5 linked regions of the Canis lupus familiaris genome follow. The protein of the gene in region 3 purifies or fractionates together with the protein of the main gene of each other region. This does not show direct contact. Links are inferred from orthologs where the notes say so. Each region holds a gene or a part of one and is shown on either strand. Other genes may lie near its edges. The genes, in order: SKP2, SIRT2, FOXO1, ATG7 and SIRT1.

Region 1 (4,259 bases), on a different chromosome or scaffold from region 3:
AGAAGAAAGAATCATTACCTAAAAGTATTTGCTTTGGGGAAACAGGCTCTCTTTTTTGTGGACCAGAATTTCTCTGTTGACAGAGTTGTATTTCACTTAATGGGAAATAGCTAAGAAGAGGATTGGCATATATGTGACCAAAAAAATAAAAAATATGTAAAGAAGTCAGATGGCTTTTGCCTCTCGTAGAAAAGGTGTGACTAATCAATCCTTTTCTCCATCTGTGCCCAACTACTCCCATCTGCACCCACCTACGCAGCCCTGTCCTAAATACCATAGCAAAGTCGCTGTTAGATGTTATCACAGGTAATGGACCTACTAAGAAGTTACTTTAACTTCTCTTGCTCCTCTTTTGAAAGAGCCTGGTTCAAATAAAGGTCAAGTCCATATTTTGGAATTACATGTAACCTGTGGTGATTCTTTGCCATCACTGGCTCCCAGCTTCTCATGACACTTGAACTCCTTTCAGTTTTAGATCAAGAATAGAAAAAGGATGGGCAGCCCGGGTGGCTCAGCGGTTTAGCGCCGTCTTTGGCCCAGGGCGGATCCTGGAGTCCCGGGATTGAGTCCCACGTCGGGCTCCCTGCATGGAGCCTGTTTCTCCCTCTGTCTGTGTCTCTGCCTCTCCCTCTCCCTATGTCTCTCGTGAATAAATAAATATTAAAAAAAAAAAAAAAAAAGAGAGAGAATAGAAAAAGGAAGCAACTATGGTTGGATTTTAAAGAAATCTCAGCATTTTTAGATTGTGAGAAAACATTTAACAAAATGCGCCTGCGTGGGTCCTGGGGCCATGTTGTCCGAGCACAGAAAGGTCTGTGCTTTCTGGTTTGATTCATCTATTCTATTTTCTCAAATCATTGATTGCAAATTATGTTTTCAGTTTGCATTTTGTAGAATATAAAACAAATGGTAAAAATTGGGTCATGTAACTCTGGTGGATCAGTTACCATAGATACTGCTATTCTGAGAAGTCTCTCTTCCTTTCCAGTGAACTTGGAGAAATCCCCACACTAAAAACACTACAAGTTTTTGGAATCGTGCCAGATGGTACCCTTCAACTGTTAAAAGAAGCCCTTCCTCATCTGCAGATTAATGGTTCCCATTTCACCACCATCGCCAGGCCGACCACCGGCAACAAAAAGAACCAGGAGATATGGGGCATCCGATGCCGGCTGACACTGCAAAAGCCCAGTTGTCTATGAAGTATTTATCACAAGATGGTGTCTCCTCTTTTCTTTGGAACAGGGAAAATAGGCAGGAAGCCTGCTTGCTGGAGCACTCAGCTGTTTTTATTCTTGGTTTTCCCTTTGCCTTCATTCTGCAAGTATGTTAGACAGCCGTTTGAGAGAGAAGACTATGAAGTTTTGCTTTTTCTAAATAACCAGAAAAGCTTCGGTCACTGCTTTTGTACACTTAGGAGCCTAAGTTTAAGGCCTTTGGGAATTTTAGGAGAGCCTGTAATTTCAGGATGCCTTAAGCAGCAAGATTTGAGCCACCTCTTTCAAGTGCCCTTCTTATTAAATCTATTTAGAATCAAGCGTAAGAATCACCACCAGCAAATCGTTCTCACAATCTATATGGTGACTTCTATTTAATTTTTCAGTATTGCTTTATGAGACATAGACTGCTAGAAGTGTTTGTGTTGTGAACGGAACAAAAGGAGAATCATAGGATAGTAGCATTTGTGGCAACCTCTTCTGGAGATAGAAAAATACGCATTTCAGCTTTGCCTGTAGATATGAAATTAGGTTCATGGAAACAAATAGCTCTGGGCAATTCACACTAAATGACAAATGACTGACCAATCAGAGGTGAAGAATTGGTAGAGAATTTGAAAGCTCAAGAGGCAGTTTTCTATGACAGGTCAATCTGAAGTATCTTCTCATGCACATCAGTGAAGTTTCCATAATGTCATGTGCTCGCAGAATTCCGAATTAGCTGAGGAAATATAATTGTGGTCTTCTAACTTTGTGATCAAATGACGTTAACATGGGTTCTTTCGCTTTTAAAATGGCTCGCTTTGTTTCAGACAGATGCTAGTAGCTGGTCAGTCTTTATTCTTGAAATGTTGGATGGAATGCCAAACTGAAGTTCCCTGCCATTTTTCCTTTATTGTCCAAGTTCTTGAAGTTATTTTTATATTACTCTGGAATCAAGTATTTTCAATTGCCTTTTTAAAAAAAATGTCCCCCACAATAATTGAAAGTCATTATTTTCTAAAGTTACCGGACATGGAGTTGCCCAAGAAGAACTACATGTTCATTCACTCAGAAATACACATTAGAAGTAGGTGTGAGTTCCATGCAGTTTCTAAGCAGTGAGACAACTTGAAATGACATCAAGGTTAAGACTCAGGTGTGGAATCTTTTGATAACAACAGTGCTTTTATTTTTTTTTTTTAATAATGTCTAGAAGAAAAAGGATTAAATTCTACTTTAAAACAAAACACTAATTTTTTAATTTAAATTGATCTTCCCATATGTTCAAAATGAACAAAAAAGCTAAAACCTGTTATTTCTATTAATTGTTTTTAAATCAGATTCTTCAAATGTCAGAAACAACGATTTGAAGTGCCCTTATCTGCCCAGACCTAAGGAGGAACATTTTAAAGTGGTCTTATGCAGGAAATAATTATGTTTTGATTTTGTACTGATTAAAAAGTGCTACATATACTACATGAAATTATTGTTTACAGATTAGTGACAAGGGCTGATGATAGTACCCAATTGGGCTGTGATTTCCAGATGCCCTCAAATGTACAGTACTTCCAAACTCAAGTCCAGCCATAAGCTATTTTGCTAACATGTCAGAGTGATCTGTATTTTTGTATGTGATTTCTACTTTTATACACCTGTTTTAAAATAAAACAATTTTTATAAAAATGAGTACTTCCGCTGAGTTGTATTCTTTTGTTCTTTCCCTCTCTCTCTCTCTTTTTTTTTTTTTTTCCCTAAGTACTGTGGTTAAAATTAGCATTTCGTCTGGGGTGTCTTTGGTCCCAGCCCTCTGGTTATGGCTACAAAAGGACCCCAACAATGGTCCCCTTTGTTCCATCCACATCATATGCTTTTTGTCAAATTAAAATGATAGTGTGAATGCTTTCTGAGAAGGTACTAAGTACAGGTTTATTCTTTAAAGTGCTTCTAAAATAGTAACATTTATAAAACATTTGAAATTCAAGTGATTAATATACTAAAGTACTAATAAAAGGCAGCTAGTAGGACTTTTTAAATATAGACGGGACCAGCTCATACTATATATCTTACTCTCATTAATCTGTCCCCTATTTCCATAGGTTCAGCAGCAAAAAGCCCTAGACTGAAGGTAATATTGCCATGGTAGTGAGATCAAGTCCTAGGATGGGCTCCATGTTCAGTGTGGAGTCTGCTTGTGACTCTTTCTCCCTCCTCTCTGCCCTTCCCTGCTGCATTTTCTCTCTCTCTAATAAATAAATCTTTTTTAAAAAGAGGAATAGAATTAGTTCCGACCCATGCCTTACTGAGTATTCCTATAAAATATTCAAATTAAAATATTCTTTCCTAATTTTCTCTTTAGTTCCTCTTTATTTTGTCAGTAATTTTCTTAAAAATGTATCTTCAGGTCCATGACACTTAAAAACAAATACTCATGTTTTCCTTAACGTAGAAAACTTAATAAGCCTTCTTGTTGACTTATGCCCTGATCCCCTCATGCTTATTTTTAATGTTAAAGTCGAGAATATACTGCATTGGAAAGAAACCATTTCTCCTTGTAGCTCAGCAGTTCATCTGTATATTACTGTTATCCCTTCCCGCCCACCAATTTAATTTTTTTCATTATATCATTTATATGTCATATTATCCCTGGGATCTTTTTTACGCATTGTCTTGGTAGGTACTATCCCTAAGTATAATGATGCACATATTATTGGTACATTGGCAAAACTGAATGAATTTTTTAGTGATTTAAATCCTCAATTACCTCTTTTTTTTTAAAGTACTTTTTTTTAAATTTTTATTTATTTATGATAGTCACACACAGAGAGAGAGAGAGAGGCAGAGACATAGGCAGAGGGAGAAGCAGGCTCCATGCACCGGGAGCCCGATGTGGGATTCGATCCCGGGTCTCCAGGATCGCGCCCTGGGCCAAAGGCAGGCGCTAAACTGCTGCGCCACCCAGGGATCCCTTAAAGTCCTTTCTTAAATTGAAGTGCAGTTGACATAAGTTTCGAGTGTACAGTGGAGTGATTCCACAAGTGCTCACTGTGGTAAGTGTAGTCA
Region 2 (4,683 bases), on a different chromosome or scaffold from region 3:
AATAAATAAATCTATCTTTTAAAAAAATGATACCTTAGAACCCAAAATTATAAAAGACAGGGAATCCTTGGATATAAATGGGCGTTCTAATATTTTCTTCCTGCACCTGGCAATTTGGAGCCTGCCAGCCTGGGAAGCTGCCACCAGGGGGAGGATGAATTTGTTTTAAGTCCCAGATTTCTCAAACCGGAACAGGAGCTCCTGCCCAGGGCTTGCAGTGGTGGTGGCCTGGGAAGGGACAGCCTCTCCTTCCAGGAGGACCCCCACTCAGGATAAACCTGACCGTTCTTCCCAGAGTCCATTTTATCCCCATGGCTCAGACATGGTACAAACAGCTCACTCCAAGCCGAGGGCCCCCTGTGCGCGATTTCATGACATCAGCCCCACAGCCCTGTGTTGTCATCTTCCGTCATGAGTGTTTACTGAGCACAAACCCCATGCCAGGCCCTGCTGGCAGCAACATCCCTGCCCTCCTAGAGCTGATAGTCTAATGAGGGGAGAGAGACAATGGACAAGACAATGGTAGCACGTCCAGTGTGCCACGATGTCTGTGGAGCACCATTAAGCGAGAAAGGGGAACTGGAAGTGCTGGGGGTGGGGGGGTTGGTGCCATTGTCAACAGGTATCAGAGAAGGCCTCACCAAGAAGGGGACATTTAGGAAGGGAAGGAGGGAAGGAGGGTGACATGGGATCATCTGGCCGGGAGAGTGTGTTCCAAGCAAAGGGAACAGCCAGGGCAAAGGCCCTGAGGTGAGACTATGTGGTGTGTTCGAGAAGCTGGATCCGGGTGAGCAGAGAGGAGAGCAGGAGAGAATGAAGGAGGCGAGCTCAAGGAGGGGGACAGGGGCTGACCTTGTGGGATCCTGGGGCCAAAGGAAGGGCTGAGTGAGATAGAGCAGGAGGGCTCTACATGGGGTGGGACGGGGTGACCTGAAGCCAGGCATCCCTCTCTGGCTGCAAGTAGGGGGCTGATGGGGAGGGCGGGGTGAGGAAGGGGGTCCTCCGATGTCCAAGTAGAAGAGGCTGGAGGCAGGGGCCAATGAGGGGAGAAGTGTGCGGGTCACGAATCTGCTTCAAAGGTGAAGCCATGTGAGGCCAAAGCCTCCGCCCCAGCACAGAAGCACACCCACGGCGAGCTACCTTCTCATGAAATCCAGCATCGGTGCACTCTGGGGGCCGTGGGAAAGGTGCAGGCGTCTGTCCCCTCCCGGCAATAATTAATGCATGCATTTAGCTACACATACGTCATCAAAACGTATGTTTTGAGGCCTATTACAGAAAACAGAGGCAAAAGTGGAAAAAAAGTTCCACTCTCATGTTTCAAGAAACCATTTTGTTGTTTTGTTTTGTTTTGTTTTGTTTTGTTTTCAAACTTGTCACCCTCTCCATCAACCTCAGCCACTTTTTGAGTCACTGACCCAGTTTTCTGGAACACACTGTCTTCACTTCTTTCCGAATTGTGATGATGTGGCACTTCTGAAGCTATGTACGATAGCTATTTTTATCTCCAGATACAAGTCTCCATTCAAACATGAGAACAGTTGCCCTGTTCGTTCAAGCCCTGTGATCTCCACAGCAAAGCAGCTTATCGTCCTTTTAAATATCTGCATGGCCTTTACCCGCCACATAGGGCTTTCTCTCACTTAACTTCCTGTGTGGAAGACCCTTCCATATCCACACCCACATAGCAGCTTCCTGCTTGCTCTTTTCTTTTCTTTCTTTCTTCCTTTTTTAGAATTTTTTTAAAAGATTTTATTCATTTATTAATGAGAGACACACAAAGAGAGAGGCAGAGTCACAGACAGAGGGAGAAGCAGGCTCCATGCAGGGAGCCCAATGGGGGCCTGGGGACCCGGGATCGAGTCCCCAGGATCCCACCCCAGGCCAAAGGCGGCGTTAAACCGCTGAGCCACCTGGGCTGCCCAGGATTTTATTTTTAAGTAATCTCTCCACCCAATGTGGGACTTGAACTCACAACTCCAAGATCCAAGAATCGCACAGTGAACCAGCCAGGCGCCCCCGACTTCATGCTTTTTCAAAGCTGCCATTGCCTTCGTGTCCATCAGGGGGACACAGTGTTTTAAAACAAAAAAGGGAGCCAAGGTTTAAAAAACGAGATTTCAGATGAAAATCCAGACTTCAGGCTCCTCTTGCAGATTGAGAAGAGCTGGCTACGCCCCACCCTGCCCCGCCCGGGGTCCTCCAGAGTCGGGGAGCGCTGCGCTGGAGCTGGGGGGGCCACTGCCCACTGTCACCATGCCCTGCTTCGTGCCACACACCCCAGCCACATGTCACTTGCCGTTTACCATCATGTGCTCATGACTCTTTGTCCTTTAGGAGGGGGCTTCCTGGGGCCATACCCCCCAGCCGCCAGCCTCTCTCCCCTAGCTGGCTTCTCATATCACAGGGGCGCCTGGGTGGCTCTGTCTGTTAAGCGCCTGCCTTTAGTTCAGGTCATGGTCCCAGGGTCCTCGGATTGAGTCCCACATGGGGCTCCCTACTCAGTGGGGAACCTGCTACTCCCTCTGCCTGCTGCTCCCCCTGCTTGTGCACACTCTCTCTCTTTCTCTGTCTCTCTTTCTCTTTCTCTCAAATAAATAAATAAAATCTTTCCAAAAAATATTCTATACGTAGGGAAACAAGTACACACGTTCATATATAGTTTTCCCACAGCCCTTGTTCTCCTGAGCCTTTTAACCTCTTGGAGGGATCATTTCAACATCAGGACACACAGGTCAGCCTCGTTCTTTTCCAATTTGTGGTTTCTTTATCAAAAGTGGCCTCAGACTAACAGAGGCATCTGAGTAGTTCTTGTACATGCTATATAATTATTTGCACGCACACTGCTTACTCATGTGTGAGGGAGTCAGTAGACTGAGTCAAGTCACAAAGGCAAAACTAAAGCAGGGGGAGGAGGCAGGGGGAGAGCTGCAGGGAGTGTGGGAACAGTGGCTCTTGTCTGCCCGTTGGGGGAACAAGCTGATCGCTGGCAGGGAGCAGAGAGAGCAGTGGGGGCCGTCTGCCCTTGAAAGACAACCCTTTCGGTTGTTCACGGAGTCTCGGGGAAACCGTGCCGGGGTAGCTGGGGGCTACATGTGACCGGCCATCTCTGGGTGGCATGTGCCCATGTGCCCCGTCAGCACCTGCCCCTGCAGCATTCCTCACGGGCCAGCAAAAGCTGCTCCCGAGGGGCTGCGTGCTTTAAGAAAAATGAGAGCGCTCATATGCCTATATGGAAGAGAAGAACAGCCTGGCTGGTTGAAGGAGGGATATACCTGCGTCTGAAAAGAATGCGATGACTGTGCCATCTCTGAAACAGACCGTAGTAAGAAACCCTACTGCTAATTAGGAAAACAGTGATTAAAACCAAATAAACCCTCCCGATTCACTTATTTCTGTTAATGCTTGGCCAGGCCTGCCATATCCAGCTGCGCGGGTTGGCTACTGCACAAGGACGCCACACCTGAGGGGGCTCTATCTACAGCAGAGACATTGTAGGGCTTGTTCGTGAAGGCCAACAAATTTCTGGCAGGTGGCACTAACGTCGTGTGGTCCTAACAAAACAAATTTTCTGAAAAAATGGAAACAAAGTGGCCCGATAATGCGGAAAACCTCCATATGGGCTGATGGTGGCCGTGGGCCTGGGCTCACAGATGTATGAGCGTGGGCCCCGCCGTTAAGCATCTGTGACTTTTACGCTTCGGTGGCACCATGAGATGAGCGGAGGGCTTTACGGGCACACCGTGCCCCTCGTTTCTCCTTCGCTTCCTTCTCCCTCCGTCCCATTTGCTTCTCTTCACAGCGCCCTGCTCCTGCCCCTGAGGGGCCGGCTCGCTGCTGAGCCTTTCCCCCCACCTCTCCCCGCAGAACATAGACACCCTGGAGCGGGTGGCCGGGCTGGAGCCTGAGGACCTGGTGGAGGCCCACGGCACCTTCTACACCTCGCACTGTATCAGCCCCCTGTGCCGACGGGAGTACCCGCTCAGCTGGATGAAAGGTGAGGCCCCGGAGGTCATCCACGAGGGCGGGCCTCCTGCCTCCCGTCGGCTCCCCAGCGCCAAGATCAGGGGCTCCACGCTGTGGGCTCCAGCGGTGTCCTTGCTCTGTGGCCCCCCGAGATCTGAGGCAGCAGCGGGGTCTGCAGCGGGCTCCCAGCACCACCTCACAGCCGGGTTATTAGGGGAGCAAGGTCCAGACCCAATTCAGCCGTACACAGAGATGTGTGTTGGCAGAGAGGTCGCCGGACCGCCATGCAGTCTGTTCTGTGGGGTCTGAGGCCCCGGCCCTTTGTCCTTTGAGGGGCTCTGATCTTACCTTACAAGAGGGGCCCACGGAGGGAGACACAACTGCACTCTAATCCGTACCTGCTCAGTATGGCAGCCGCTGCCACATGTGGCTCTGGAGCGCTCACAGATGTCACTACCGTGACCAGTGGACTGAATGTTTCATTTTCCGTCATTTTTATTAATTAAAAAGTTAAAAGCCACATGTAGCTACGTGCACCATACTGGACAGGACGGGGCTGGAGGCCCCGGATCCGATGGCCCGTTAGTCAGATGCAGGCAAGCATGTTCCGTGGAGCGTGGAGCTGGACGCAGGCCTGGTTAGGGACAAAGGCGGGGGGCGGGGGGGGGGGACTGTCCCGAGGGGTCCAGACAACAGGGCTTGTCAAAGTCAGCGTCC
Region 3 (4,683 bases):
AAAGCATTCTGCCAATCACTAAAGTCCTATTTTAAGTTTTCCTCCATCCACCTGTGTTTCCACAGTGTGCTAAGTAATCTGTGGGACAGAAGGGAGAGAGGGATTAAGTGTGAGTCTTAACATAATCCTTTGAGGCAGAGCTACAAAACCAACCTCCACCTAGACCAAAATAAGAGCAAAGTAGTATGAGGGAAAACACTTGCTAAAGCTCAACTCAAAAAAAAATAAAAATAAAAATAAAAATAAAAATAAAATAAAGCTCAACTCAAAAAGGTTAAGTTGATCAAAACTCCCAATTTGAGAGAAGAGCACGGTTTTAGACACAGGACTCCTTTTCTGATCCACAAACATCACAAGGCCCCTCAGGAGTAACTGAAATGACACAGCACACGGACATTTATCAGAAGACTCAATGCTCTGGCGGTGCACTCAGATCACGGGATAAGAGGAGCAGATGGAATTTCTTTCAAACACGTACATAAAAACATATTACGTTCTCCTAAACATGAAACGCAAAATGTCCACAACTATACATTGCTCTCTTGCCAAAACAGAGCCAGAAACGTTGAGTATGCAAGTACTAATTACAATGATTTTTAAGATTAGTCAGAAACAACACCAAGTAGCATCCCAAAGTGTAAAACCAGTTAAACACGTATAAAATCAGTACTAATCCAGTTAGAAATACAAAATGAAAATTATGGATGCTGCCTCCAATATCTGGGATTCCACAAATTTACAAGCAGACTATGTAACAAAGTAGACTCTAGTTTTAAGAAAACATTACAGTTCAATATCTATTCCAAAAATGATCTCAAGTCCCAACGATAACATCAAAAATCATTTATCCGGAAATTAGAACCATTTAAATGTTTGTACAAATTTGCAAATAACAAAATAAACAAAAAAATAGAAAAGACCTGTACAAGGCTGGCATTTAAACTATTTTTCCCCGAAAGGTGTTTGACGAGTCCATTATTCAGCAGATTGATAACAGGCTATTGGTTCTCATGTGAATTGTGTGGCTGTGTGAACAGGCCCAAAGCTGTTCCACAGAGGCGCAGGATGGAGGAGAGTTGGTTCTCTGTAGTTCATCTGTTCAGCAGAACACAGGTAGCACAAACCAAAGTTTAACTTATCAAAGACATGAGACCATCACAGTATTACAAGAAGAGTATAAACTTTCCTTGGACCAAATGGATATTTAAAAAATAAAAACAAAAACAAAAATACACACAAATACAATTCTGTAGCTACTGCTTATGTACAAAAACTTGAAAGCACACCAGGATCCGAATGTCTTTTCTGCAATTATATGGTGTAGTGAGTTTGGCACTTCATTGTAATGAAATTTCCAATGGCACAGTCCTTATCTACAGCAGCACATAACCTGCAAACATCGGGCAAACTTCCTGTACAGGAAAAGTGTCTTCACTGCCAAGTCTGACGAAAGGAAAAAAGAAACACTTTTCTCTCTCTTTCTTTTCTTTCTTTCTTTCTTTCTTTCTTTCTTTCTTTCTTTCTTTCTTTCATCAAGAAAACGAAAAGGAGGGGTGAAGGACATCTTTGGACTGCTTCTCTCAGTTCCTGCTGTCAGACAATCTGAAGTACTTTTAAGTGTAGCCTAGAAAAAACACACAATGAAAATACAGCCAAATTAAAATCAATTCAATTTAACATTTTAGAGTGACAGACACAGGGGGCAGGGGCACGGTGCTAGGGCTTTTGAAAACAGCTCTGAAATCATTCAGTGGGGAAAACTCTACTTAAGAAAACAAAAAAAGGGATCCCTGGGTGGCGCAGCGGTTTAGCGCCTGCCTTTGGCCCAGGGCGCGATCCTGGAGACCCGGGATCGAATCCCACGTCGGGCTCCCGGTGCATGGAGCCTGCTTCTCCCTCTGCCTGTGTCTCTGCCTCTCTCTCTCTCTGTGTGTGACTATCGTAATTAATTAATTAATTAATTAATTAATTAAAAAAGAAAACAAAAACAAAACAACAAAAAACTGCAGTATTTGATTTACATCAAACATATTCATTTATTGACCAGCTACCATCTAACTGTCAAAAGAAAATCTTTAAAGCAGTCAGAGAGAGGAAGTTTCCTTATGCTTAAGCTCAAAAAGAAAAAAATTCTGCTGCAAAAGGGACAGAGAATGTATGCTAAAAGATGTTTCTCTGTAAGGAACAGCCAGCTGACATCAAAAAAGTCCCAACTATGTAAGGTATGTGGCAAGGTACCGTGTTCCTATCTTTTAAGCTCTGGCTTCAGAAAGTCTTTTGATATTGGGGTGATCTTACCTGTCCACTAACTCACTCTTAGCCTGACACCCAGCTATGTGTCGTTGTCTTGACGCTGTGCGGGAAGCTTTGGTTGGGCAACACATTGTCAAAGTTAAAATCCAAAGTATCTCCATCCATGAGGTCGTTCCGAATGATGGACTCCATGTCACAGTCCAAGCGCTCAATAAACATGCCATCCAAGTCACTGGGGAGCTTCTCCTGGTGGAGCAGGCCCATCCTTCCATAGCCATTGCAGCTGCTCACAGAGGAGTAGGCTCCCAAGGTGTTCATCTGCATGGGGTGGGACAGAGGCACTTGTAAAGCTGTCTTCACTGGGGCCAAGCGGTTCATACCCGAGGTGTGGGGCATGGTGTTGACAGTGTGGGGCAAGGCACGCCCATTAACTGCAGATGTTGGCTGGCTATGTCCAGGGTGGGTGTGGGAGCTGGGGCTCATCATTTTGTTATGAGATGCCTGGCTGCCATAAGTTGACATGACCGAATTAGGGCCCATCAACACATTCTGACCAAGGACCCGGCTGTTGGGCTGGGTGACCCCAGGATCAACTGCTGTCATAATGTCATTATGGGGAGGAGAATCAGAAGTAAGCAACTCCTTCAAGAGTCCTGGTGCACAGTTATACTGATTCATACCTCCAAAGCTCGATTTGTTGTCCTGAAGTGTTTGCATAGGCATCTGGGGCAAAGGACTCATGCTGGACTGACCATATGTATATTTTTGGTAGTTTGGGCTGGGTGAATTCAGACTGGTGTTTGGCGGTGCAAATGAGTAGCATGGTGTCTGTTGCATTATGGTGCCAGGTGAAGACTGGGTTGAAACAGTTAATGGCGTTGGTGATGAGAGAAGGTTGAGATTATCCAGAAGATTTTCCATATTTTCAGGATTGCTTATCTCAGACAGGCTAGGTAGAGTAGAAGCCATCTTTGCAGCAGACGGTGGGTACACCATAGAATGCACATCGCCATCTCCAAGATCATCCTGTTCGGTCATAATGGGAGAAAGTCTCCCACTAATAGTACTAGCATTTGAGCTAGTTCGAGGGCGAAACGTACTCCAGTTATCAAAGTCATCGTTGCTGTGAGAGCCTGGACTCGCAGGCCACTTAGAAAACTGAGATCCTGGGCTGTCCCCAGCACCCTCCTGGCCAGACTGAAGGGATGCTTTTTTCTTAGCAGCTCTGCCCCGGCTCTTAGCAAATTTACTGTTGTTGTCCATGGAAGCAGCTCTTCTCCGGGGGGATTTTCCACTCTTGCCTCCCTCTGGATTGAGCATCCACCAAGAACTTTTTCCAGTTCCTTCATTCTGCACACGAATGAACTTGCTATGTAGGGACAGATTATGACGAATTGAATTCTGTAAAGCAAAACATCATGTTAGAAACACAGTACTTCTCCAGTTGGAATACTTACTATTCAGTGTGTGTGTGTGTGTGTGTGTGTGTGTAAACACACACAAAAAAAATTTGAAGTTTGTGGTACAGATTTCAACCCATACAGGTTCTGAACTCCACTATAAAAGAGCTCAAACCAGTACAAGAAAAATAGTATCTTATCTTAAAAACAGGATCTGTATCTTAATGAAATGAAGGGACAAAATTAAATAAACATATTCTTATTATAAACATATTCTTTTATATGGCTGTATTTTATAGAGCAATTATAGGAACTGGTTTTAAAACCACTTAAATCTTCGCTTAGTTAGGGATCCCTGGGTGGCGCAGCGGTTTGGCGCCTGCCTTTGGCCCAGGGCGCGATCCTGGAGACCCGGGATCGAATCCCACGTCGGGCTCCCGGTGCATGGAGCCTGCTTCTCCCTCTGCCTGTGTCTCTGCCTCTCTCTCTCTCTCTGTGACTATAATAAATAAATAAAAATTAAAAAAAAAAATCTTCGCTTAGTTAATAATGCTATGCAAATAGCACTCTACAACAAAGTGCTATCAAAAATTCTTTCCATTCTATCACCCCTAAAACTACTGCCAATTCTCTTCAGATTGCACATATGCAATTTACAAAAGTGAGAAGTTTTATATTACTGGGCCCACGTGATTATGGGAAAGAAAGAAGTGAAGCAGGATATATTCTTAGTTTAAGAATTAAAAGCTTGAAAACTACTAAGACTTAGATTCCTTTCTACCTTTCAAGCCCATTAGGCCAAAAAAAAAAAAAACAAAAAACAAAAAACAAAACAAAACAAACAAACAAACAAAAAAACACCATTAGGCAAACATAGGTAAATATAAGGCAAACGGGATCATAGTTCCTATTTTAGAAAACCGAACTGCCAAAAAAGGGAAAATTTCAATTCTAGTGTTCTTCACTGCCCCCTCCTCCCCAAAATAACCAGTAGTATGCACCACCTAACTCAAGGTCACTGCATCAGAGG
Region 4 (4,683 bases), on a different chromosome or scaffold from region 3:
GCATACTGTCTGTAACAGGTTTTTATTCTTCATAGAAAAGTAATTGTGGTTCTCTATGTGTTCTGTATTATGTATATGTAGTATTTTGTTGTATGACCATGTCCTCAATTTTTTTCAATTTCAGCATATTTTTGAGATGCTGCTGAAATGAATATTTTTATATCTTTACATATGTATGTGATTATTTCTTTAGGGAAAAAAAAAAGCCCCAGTAGAAATTATTATGTTAGAGAGAATGTATTGTGTGTGTGTGTGTGTGTGTGTGTATGCACACACACTATGTATATATAAGTTTTTTTTCAAGCTAAGTTACCTTCCAAAAACATTTTACTAGCCTGTACTTTTAGAACCATGTACAAAACAGAGCTTTTTAATTTGTTTCTTTTATTAGTGAGAGTATATCTTTAATTTTATTTCCTTTGTGAATATTATTTATTTTATTCATCTAAATTTTAAAATATATTGACACAAAATACATATAATACTCTCTTAGCATCTTTTAAAACTCTGTCTTTTAAAAAATCTTTCCTCACTCCCAAGGTTGCATGTTTACGTTTTCTCCTTTTTCCTATTATTCAGACTTTCCAGAGAGGATTGTCTGTCTTATCAGTCTTTTTGGAGGACTCAGTCCTTGATTTATTTATTAGTTTTATAGTTTTTGTTTTTGTTTTGTTTTGTTTTGCTTTCAGATTCATTAATATCTGTTTTTATCTTCATTAATATCTTCCTCTTTTTGTGAAATTTATTTTGTGTTCTTTTTCTGGCTTCCAGAATTAGGTGTTTAGGTTTTCTTAGCATTATTGAGAATTATAAAGTCATTGGAAATCTACCATAGAAAATTTGTAAAGTGTAAAAGTTATAAAGCAGAAAAAGAAGACACCCATTTTCTTACCACTTTTTCACTTATTTCCTTTAATGTTTGTTAAATATATATTTAAAAATCTTATTTGATTTATATAATGCCCTTCACTTTTATTTATTAACATTGTAAACACTTTCTCATGTAATTAAAAATAATGCCTGTAAAGCGTTTTTAATGTCTATAGAATATGCTTTTTTTAAAAAAAATTATTTATTTATTCATGAGAGACACAGAGAGAGAGAGAGAGAGAGAGAGAGAGGCAGAGACATAGGCAGAGGGAGAAGCAGGCTCCATGCAGAGAGCCTAATACGGAACTTGATCCAGGGACTCCAGGATCACGCCCTGGGCTGAAGGCAGGTGCTACACCACTGAGCCACTCAGGGATCCCCTAGAATATGCTTTCTTATATGATGAAATGTAATGTTCTAAGATACTCCTCTTATGGTAAGCATTAACATTGTTTCCAGTATTTTACAACTGCAAATTATGTTGTGGAACATTTTTGTTAATATTTCAAATTGCTTCCTAGGGTAGATTGCTGGAAGTATTTACTGAGGTTAGATTGCTGCAAATAGGCCAAAAGATATGAACATTTGAAAGATTCTAGAAACATATTGCCAAATTGCTTTCCAGAAAAATTATATCAGTTTATATTCTCATCCAGTACAATAGCTTTTCATCACCACATCCTCACCAGCATTGACTATTACAGTTTTCTTTAATCTTAGCTATTTAAACTGTGTTAGCATTCCAGGAAGCCAAAAGTTGAGTGTGAATGCCCCCCTGGATGTGGCTAACCCATGGCCTGTTTGTAATTTACTTGGCTTTCTTTCCTTTGCCCAGCATCTTCCTAGACTGCCTTCCACTCAGCATTGCTTTAAGGGATGTAAAAATACTTCAGAAATAAATGTGTCGGGGATCCTTGGGTGGCTCAGTGGTTTAGTGCCACCTTCAGCCCAGGGTGTGATCCTGGAGACCCAGGATGGAGTCCCCCATCAGGCTCCCTGCATGGAGCCTCTTCACCCTCTGCCTGTGTCTCTGCCTCTCCCTCTCTCCCTCTCTCTCTCTCTCTCTCTCTGTGTGTGTGTGTGTGTCTTTCATGAATAAATAAAGAAAATCTTAAAAAAAGAAAAAAGAAATAAATGTGTCCAAATCAAGCACAAGTGACTTTTGGATTTTCTGTGTCTTTTTTTTTTTTTTTTAAGATTTTCTTTATTTATTCATGAGAGACACAGAGAGAGAGGGATTTTCCGTATCTTTATTCTGCCTCCACGGTAGATTGCTTTGCTGGTAAAAGTCACTTATAAAACCGGATGAGTATGGGCAGCCCCGGTGGCTCAGCGGTTTAGCGCCACCTTCAACCGAGGGTGTGATCCTGGAGATCCCACGTCAGGCTCCCTGCATGGAGCCTGTCCTGCCTGTGTCTCTGCCTTCATCTCTCTCTCTGTATCTCATTAATAAATAAATAAAAAAAAAAAACAAAAAAAAAAAAACAAAAACTGGATGAGTAGACCAAGTTTACCAGTGGGCTTTCAACACAGATAACTGTGCTTTTGAAAAGATAGATTCTGGCCTGTCCTCAACCCTGAAAATGAACCTTGGATTCTTGTTGACCATCCCCTTGGAAACATCAGTTTAACTGAGTTTCTGAGTCTCTGCTGGAAGGATATTGAAATAAGAGAGAGCAGAATCAGCTTTGTAGCCAAAATCTTCTATGACATTATACAATGGGAAATAACTCAGAAGTCATTTTTCTGAGGAGTTAATTCAGGATTTAAGTGAGTTTTAAGTGAGCTGTTATTTATACTTAATTATTCATTAAGGGAAAGCAAGGACATTTGGGGGCTCATTGCTAATCCTTTTAAGACAACAGCTTAGACAATTCCTATGGGACTTACCTCCAAATTTTTCTCTGGTGTTACTGTCAAAAATAATGAGTTATTAGTCAGACCCACTCTGACATTTCTTAGTCTCATTACTGCAGGAAACCAGGCACCGGGTATATAATTATTTTGTCTTTTAAAGGAAGTTGACCCTCCGTTGATCAAAAACTGAATTTGCACAATCCTTTTTCTGAAGTTTCCTGTATTTTGAAGTTCCTAAGCTACTCCAAAGCAAAACCTCTTTTAGGGATTTCAAGAGAGACACCCTGTGACATGTTTGTCAGAAACACACCATGATCTCTTGTTTCCATGCAGGGTTGGGGTGTCAGACACATCACATTTGTGGACAACGCCAATATCTCCTACTCCAATCCTGTGAGGCAGCCTCTCTATGAATTTGAAGATTGCCTAGCAGGTGGTAAACCCAAGGCCCTGGCTGCAGCAGACCGGCTTCAGAAAATATTCCCTGGAGTGGTACGTTGATGTTGTTTGGGAACGTCAGAGCTTGTCTCCTGTAGTTTCCTACTGATTAATCTTGGGCAATGAAGGTCCTGTGGTATTGGTAAAAGAGAGTCAGACATTTGTCACTTACTACCCAGGCCTTCATTATATGGCCAGGCCTCTGTTTCCTCATCTCAGAGATGGGCATCAAAAAACAAAACTCATATATTGTGAAAATAAAATGAAGAATGTATGAAAAAAATGCTTTTGTAAGTTGCAAAGCATTATCGGAGTCTCATTTGAAGAATTTAGAAGTATGATATTTTTATATACTGCCTTATCCCAAAGGGATTCTTGGTAGCTCAGGTATAGGATTTTATTTCTCCTTCATTACCAGAATACTTGATAGTTACTTAGTGCAGTTTTATGAAATTAAATTGAATACAAGTCTGCACAGAATGAAGATCTGGCTAAATATTTAGCTTTTTACTCAAGCTGCTGGTTGTTTTTGAGTTGCATTATTTACTTTAAAAAAACCAAATAATAAGAGACAAGCCATTCAGCTCATTCAATTCAAAATCTCACCAGTTTTTTTCATAGGTCATCCACAAAAGGAAATGTGCATCTTGCATACTTAATCAGTTTATATGACAGAAGTTAGGTTAGATGTCTCCAAAGCATCTGCTAATACTTAAAGTGCCACAAGAGGCTCTCAGCCTTACCAACAACAACAAAAAAATTTTTGAAAAAAGACCACTTTCTCAAGGTTTTTCTGTTTAATTACTCAGTATTAGATTCATTCATTTTAATTTTTGCTTTAAAAGAAGCAACTTGATGGTTTTGTCCATTTCATCATTGATCCAGAAGAACATCATTTATTGGGTTTAATTCAACACCATTATTTAAGCACCCACTGTGTCCCCAGCTAGGTGCTGGAGGCCAAAAGAAATAAGAGTGCTAGAACCCTATCATATTAATTAAGTTGCTGCTACATTATTGCATATCGCACAGTCCTAACATGAGAGTGCCTTATTATTATAAGCATTTATCTCATACTCACAGGTCTGCAGAGTGGCTATAGCTGGACTCCAGTCTTTAAGTCAGGTTCCAGTCTGTGCTATGTGTTATAGTTTTAAAATCTAGGCTTGAGGAGCAGCAGTCATTTGGGTCATGCTCTTCTTACAATAGAAGGTGGAAATGAAAAAGGATTGGTGAAAACGTATCATACCTCTAAAAGTCTCAGTTCACTGGTGACACAATGCAGCATTCTCCATCCCCATGCCAAAGCTGGTCACAGGGCCAAACCCAAAGTCCAGGGGTATACTTTGCCTTCCTAGTGGGAGGTCCTGCAAAGTCATGTGGCTAAGAGTGAAAACATTAGTGAGAGGCAGTGCATGGTTGGGAAGAATAATCCAACCTATCACTGGAGAGTCTTATGAGCTCCCCTCAGGGCCCAGAGAGACCTGACTTTGAATCTCACCTCTGCTACTTAACTAG
Region 5 (4,683 bases), on a different chromosome or scaffold from region 3:
CTATGTCTCTGTGTGTCTCATGAATAAATAAAATCTTAAAAAATTCTTAGACATAACAATCTTGTACAACTTAAAACATTTCTATCCCATTCCATTTACAATATATGGTATAAACTGACATTTTATGTCAATATATTACTACTTGTTCTAATTATTTGTTTATTTGAATAAGCCATTGTGCCTTTTCCATACCAGGCAGGCTGTTTTAAGTTCTGGATATACAGTGATCAGTCTGTTAATGTTTGTGTATAATTATAAAAATAGCTGATTAAACAAAATAGATCTTAAGAACTATAGATGCTACTTGGAGGGGATTATATAATATAGAAGGTTTTCCAAAACCTAACTTATGACTTTGGTCTTGAACAGTAAGTAAGGAGTTAAAATAGGGGACATCTTCCCAGGAGAAACTAGGCAAAGCATAATTCCACCCTCCTCCCCTGTATTCTCTCTCTCTCTCTAAAATAAATTTTTAGAAAAATGGGAATAGGGCACCTGGGTGGCTCATTGGTTGAGGTCTGCCTTTGGCTCAGGTTGTGATCCCAGGGTCCTGGGATAGAGTCCCGTATCAGGTTCCCCACAGGAAGCCTGCTTTTTCCCGGTCTCTGCCTCTCTCTGTGTGTCTCTCATGAATAAATTTAAATCTTAAAAAGAGAATAAAATAGCATACACTTCAGCATTGTGAGAATTTAAAAAGGTAACATGTAGAGTGTAAAATTCCAGCTGTTAGAAACGAATTACCACAGTAGTCCTTAAATTTTTTACTGTGATTTTTCTGTTGGTAAGATCAAGGCTGAAAAGAAAGTGGGAGCGTATATGAGGCAAACTTTAATAAATCTGTCTTGATGGTTCCCAAGAAGAGGCAGAACCAAACAGAGATTCAAGGGCTGAGAAATAATGTTCATCAAAGGGGCTAACGCAGAATGAAAATAATATTTTAGGGCAACTGGGTGACTCATGGTTGAGCATCTGTATGCTTTTGGCTCAGGTTGTAATCCTGCTGTCCTGGGATCGAGTCCCACGGGGAGCCTGCTTCTCCCTCTGTCTGTATGTCTCTGCCTCACTCTTTGTCTCTCTCGTGAATAAATAAAATCTTAAGCATTTTTTAGAAGCATGGGCCGGGATCCCTGGGTGGCGCAGCGGTTTCGCGCCTGCCTTTGGCCCAGGGCGCGATCCTGGACACCCGGGATCGAATCCCACGTCGGGCTCCCGGTGCATGGGGCCTGCTTCTCCCTCTACCTATGTCTGCCTCTCTCTCTCTCTCTCTCTGTGTGACTATCATAAATAAATAAAAATTAAAAAAAAAAAAACTTAAAAAAAATTGAAGCATGGGCCAAAAACTATAGAAAAGTGGACACAGCCATGTGCAAGGACCCCTTAAAAGAATGTTAAGAAATTCCAGATAGGTTTTTCTGTTAGCAGCTAGAATACAGGTACTCTTATCCAATCATGGAAATTAATATTAAATAGCTAAGAAAACTGAAGAGTACTGTGTATTCTTTGAAAATAGAAGGAAACGTGGTTTTCACACTGTAATTTGTGATGTAGTGGAATGTGAAATCAATTTTGCGGATTCATATCAGGATTTTTATACACCCATATTAGGTTGTTGTAAAGTGAGAACCTGGGTCATGATCTTACAAAGTTTGAAAGCCATTTTAAAGAGAAACCTAGGTATATCTTCAGATAAGATCTACTTCAGATCAATTATTAGCAGCCAGGCTTTTGTGAATCCTTCTGGCATATGGTACAATAAATATGACATTTATTATAAGAAACAGAGGAGTTAGAAGTTACTCTTTCTTATGAATTCAAAGGTAGAAAACATTTCACCATTAATATATTTATTTTTAAAAGATTTTATTTATTCATGAAACACACACACAGAGGCAGAGAGACACAGGCAGAGGGAGAAGCAGGCTCCATGCAGGGAGCCTGATGCAGGACTCAATCTGGGTCTCCAGGATCACGCCCTGGGCTGAAGGTGGCGCTAAACCGCTGAGCCACTGGGCTGCCCTCACCATTAATATTTAAAGTTCCTACTAACAGGTGCTGTTAACCTGGACCCATAGCTTAGGGGAGAGAGAATTGTCCTTACCAACAAAGGTCACATCTTAAACTGTGAATGCAAATTTGAGAGGGAATTGGGGTTTAACATCCAATGCTAGATCAGTGTTTCTCATACTTGAATATGTCTAGGATTCAGATTCAGTAGGTGGGTGGTGGGGTTTGAGAGTCTAACTTTTCCTGTGATGCCATTGCTGCAAACTACACGTTTAAATAGGTGGTGAAGCCATTATGGAATCAAACCTTTTATTTATTTATTTATTTTTTTATGATAGTCACAGAGAGAGAGAGAGAGAGAGAGGCGCAGAGACACAGGCAGAGGGAGAAGCAGGCTCCATGCACCGGGAGCCCGACGTGGGATTCGATCCCGGGCCTCCAGGATCGCGCCCTGGGCCAAAGGCAGGCGCCAAACCGCTGCGCCACCCAGGGATCCCGGAATCAAACCTTTTAATTCTAGGTTCATAAAGTTAAATAAAAATAATGAAGGTGTCTTGAAGATAGAATACGGGCGTTAGAGAAGTTCTATTCAGTGAACATGAATTGAGTAATGTAGGCCGGCCTTGATATTTTAGGTCATGAGATCTGTTCAGAGGATTTGATTAAGTAACCCTTCATTGAACATAGTTCTTTACTTTTCCAGATGAGGAAATTGAGGCATAGAGCTTAATTCCCCAAATTTATAAAGCTGGTTGGTGGCAGAACTAAGATTTGCAGCTAGGAGTGAGCACTTAGCAGCTTGTTTTTGAAGAACGCTACAGTAATAAGCCCCCTTGTAATGATGCTCAGGTTTAAAAGGCAGAGCTGGAACCTATAATCAGACTGTCTTAAAAAACTGGGAGTAACTTACCATTTCACTTTCATTACTGTATTTCAGGTAACCAGTATCTCTTTTTACCACCAAATCGTTACATTTTCCATGGCGCTGAGGTATATTCAGACTCTGAAGATGACGTCTTATCCTCTAGTTCTTGTGGCAGTAACAGTGATAGTGGAACCTGCCAGAGTCCAAGTTTAGAAGAACACTTGGAGGATGAAAGTGAGATTGAAGAATTTTACAATGGTTTGGAAGATGAAGCTGATGTCAATGAGAGAGCTGGAGGAACTGGATTTGGAATTGATGGAGGTGATCAAGAGGCAGTCAATGAAGCTATATCCATGAAACAGGAAGCAACAGATACTAACTATCCATCAAACAAATCATAATGTAGTAATTGTCCAGGTACAGGAATTGTTCCACCAGCATTAGGAATTTCAGCATGTCAAAATGAATGTTTACTTGTGAATTCAACAGAGCAAGGAAACCAGAAAGGTGTAATATTTATAGACTGGTAAATTAGATTGTTTTTTCATGGATAATTTTTAACTTCTTATTTCTGTACTTGTACACTCAACACTAACTTTTTTTAAAAGAAGGGTACTAAGTATCTTTAATCACATGTTGGTCAAGACTTTTCTTTTAAAGGTTCATTTGTATGATACATCCATATGTATATATAATTTTGTTCTTGCCTAGTGAATTTCAACATTTTAAAGTTTTCAAAAAGCCATTGGAATGTTAAATTAATGTAAAGGGAACAGCTTATCTAGACCAAAGAATGGTATTTTCACACTTTTCTTTGTAACATTGAATGGTTTGAACTCCTTAAATGTCTGTTCTGCTAAACTTTTGATTCTTTATTAGCACACAATTACCTATTTTTAAACACTGGCATTTTCCAAAACTTGTGGCAGCTAACTTTTTAAAAATTTCATGACATGCAGTATGTATAGAGGGAAGTCAACAATATGTGGGAGAGCACTTAGTTGTCCTTGCTTTTTAAAGTAAGACTTGGTGCTAAGAGTTTCAGGAATACTGTATTGTTGAAGATGGCTTTTGTACTTCCTGTGGACATGTAGTAATGTCTATATTGGCTCCTAAAACTAAGCTGAAAAAAAATAAATGCTTTGGAAATGTTTCAATTGCTTTAGAAACAATAGTCCCTGCCTGGGTACCCTTAGTTTCAAGAATATTTGCCCTTGTTTAAATACCTATCACTGTGGTAGAGCTTGCATTGCTTCTTTCCCACAAGTATTAAACTGCCCATATGTGAATATGCAAAGCCTTTATGAATCTATAATAATGGTACTTCATCTGGGGAGAGTGTAATATTTTGGACCGCTGCTTTTCTTTTCCCTTAATGAGGAGAGCAACAGGCCACTGATTACGGTTCCAAAGTACTGAGATGTTAATTATAACTCAGCCAGTAAGTACATGTCTCCTGTTGGGAGGATTTGTGTAATAGACATCAAACTGCTAGCCTGGTATTATGAAGATGAACATGGTAATAACTTTTAATAGAATAGTTAATAAATGAAACTAGTTCCTATAACATCTTTATTTAAAAGCTTAGCCTGCCTTAAAACTAGAGATCAAACTTTGTCAACTGCAGAAGCTTCTTAGCCTTTCAAAAAAAAGTTCATACTTTATAAAATTGCACAGAGCAATTTTCCACACCTTCCCCCACATTACTCCCACATTATAAAGTATTCTTCCTAATGTTGCTTTAGTATTTATTACAGTTTTAAAAAAGGGTTTGAAATATAGCTGTTCTTTAAGGATAAAATATCCAGCCAGGA

The links.
Region 1: the proteins of FOXO1 (region 3) and SKP2 purify together in Homo sapiens (affinity purification with western blotting; 4 studies listed by BioGRID). This does not show direct contact. The link is inferred for Canis lupus familiaris from reciprocal best matches to the Homo sapiens genes FOXO1 and SKP2.
Region 2: the proteins of FOXO1 (region 3) and SIRT2 purify together in Homo sapiens (affinity purification with western blotting; 3 studies listed by BioGRID). This does not show direct contact. The link is inferred for Canis lupus familiaris from reciprocal best matches to the Homo sapiens genes FOXO1 and SIRT2.
Region 4: the proteins of FOXO1 (region 3) and ATG7 purify together in Homo sapiens (affinity purification with western blotting; 4 studies listed by BioGRID). This does not show direct contact. The link is inferred for Canis lupus familiaris from reciprocal best matches to the Homo sapiens genes FOXO1 and ATG7.
Region 5: the proteins of FOXO1 (region 3) and SIRT1 purify together in Homo sapiens (affinity purification with western blotting; 5 studies listed by BioGRID and IntAct, with this or other methods). This does not show direct contact. The link is inferred for Canis lupus familiaris from reciprocal best matches to the Homo sapiens genes FOXO1 and SIRT1.

What each region holds. Positions count from the first base shown.
Region 1 is NC_049225.1:73,261,700-73,265,958, reverse strand, and holds the end of SKP2 (S-phase kinase-associated protein 2), read left to right. Parts: intron 1-988; coding exon 989-1,202; 3' UTR 1,203-2,885; downstream 2,886-4,259. UniProt on the Homo sapiens protein: Substrate recognition component of a SCF (SKP1-CUL1-F-box protein) E3 ubiquitin-protein ligase complex which mediates the ubiquitination and subsequent proteasomal degradation of target proteins involved in cell cycle progression, signal transduction and transcription.
Region 2 is NC_049222.1:115,013,076-115,017,758, forward strand, and holds part of SIRT2 (NAD-dependent protein deacetylase sirtuin-2), read left to right. Parts: intron 1-2,528; exon of another isoform or gene 2,529-3,867; coding exon 3,868-3,997; exon of another isoform or gene 3,998-4,683. UniProt on the Homo sapiens protein: NAD-dependent protein deacetylase, which deacetylates internal lysines on histone and alpha-tubulin as well as many other proteins such as key transcription factors.
Region 3 is NC_049246.1:760,568-765,250, reverse strand, and holds part of FOXO1 (forkhead box protein O1), read right to left. Parts: intron 3,655-4,683; coding exon 2,317-3,654; 3' UTR 2,299-2,316; intron 1,625-2,298; 3' UTR 1-1,624. UniProt on the Homo sapiens protein: Transcription factor that is the main target of insulin signaling and regulates metabolic homeostasis in response to oxidative stress.
Region 4 is NC_049241.1:7,175,831-7,180,513, reverse strand, and holds part of ATG7 (ubiquitin-like modifier-activating enzyme ATG7), read left to right. Parts: intron 1-3,060; coding exon 3,061-3,219; intron 3,220-4,683. UniProt on the Homo sapiens protein: E1-like activating enzyme involved in the 2 ubiquitin-like systems required for cytoplasm to vacuole transport (Cvt) and autophagy.
Region 5 is NC_049225.1:19,928,738-19,933,420, forward strand, and holds part of SIRT1 (NAD-dependent protein deacetylase sirtuin-1), read left to right. Parts: intron 1-2,941; coding exon 2,942-3,270; 3' UTR 3,271-3,286; exon of another isoform or gene 3,287-4,683. UniProt on the Homo sapiens protein: NAD-dependent protein deacetylase that links transcriptional regulation directly to intracellular energetics and participates in the coordination of several separated cellular functions such as cell cycle, response to DNA damage, metabolism, apoptosis and autophagy.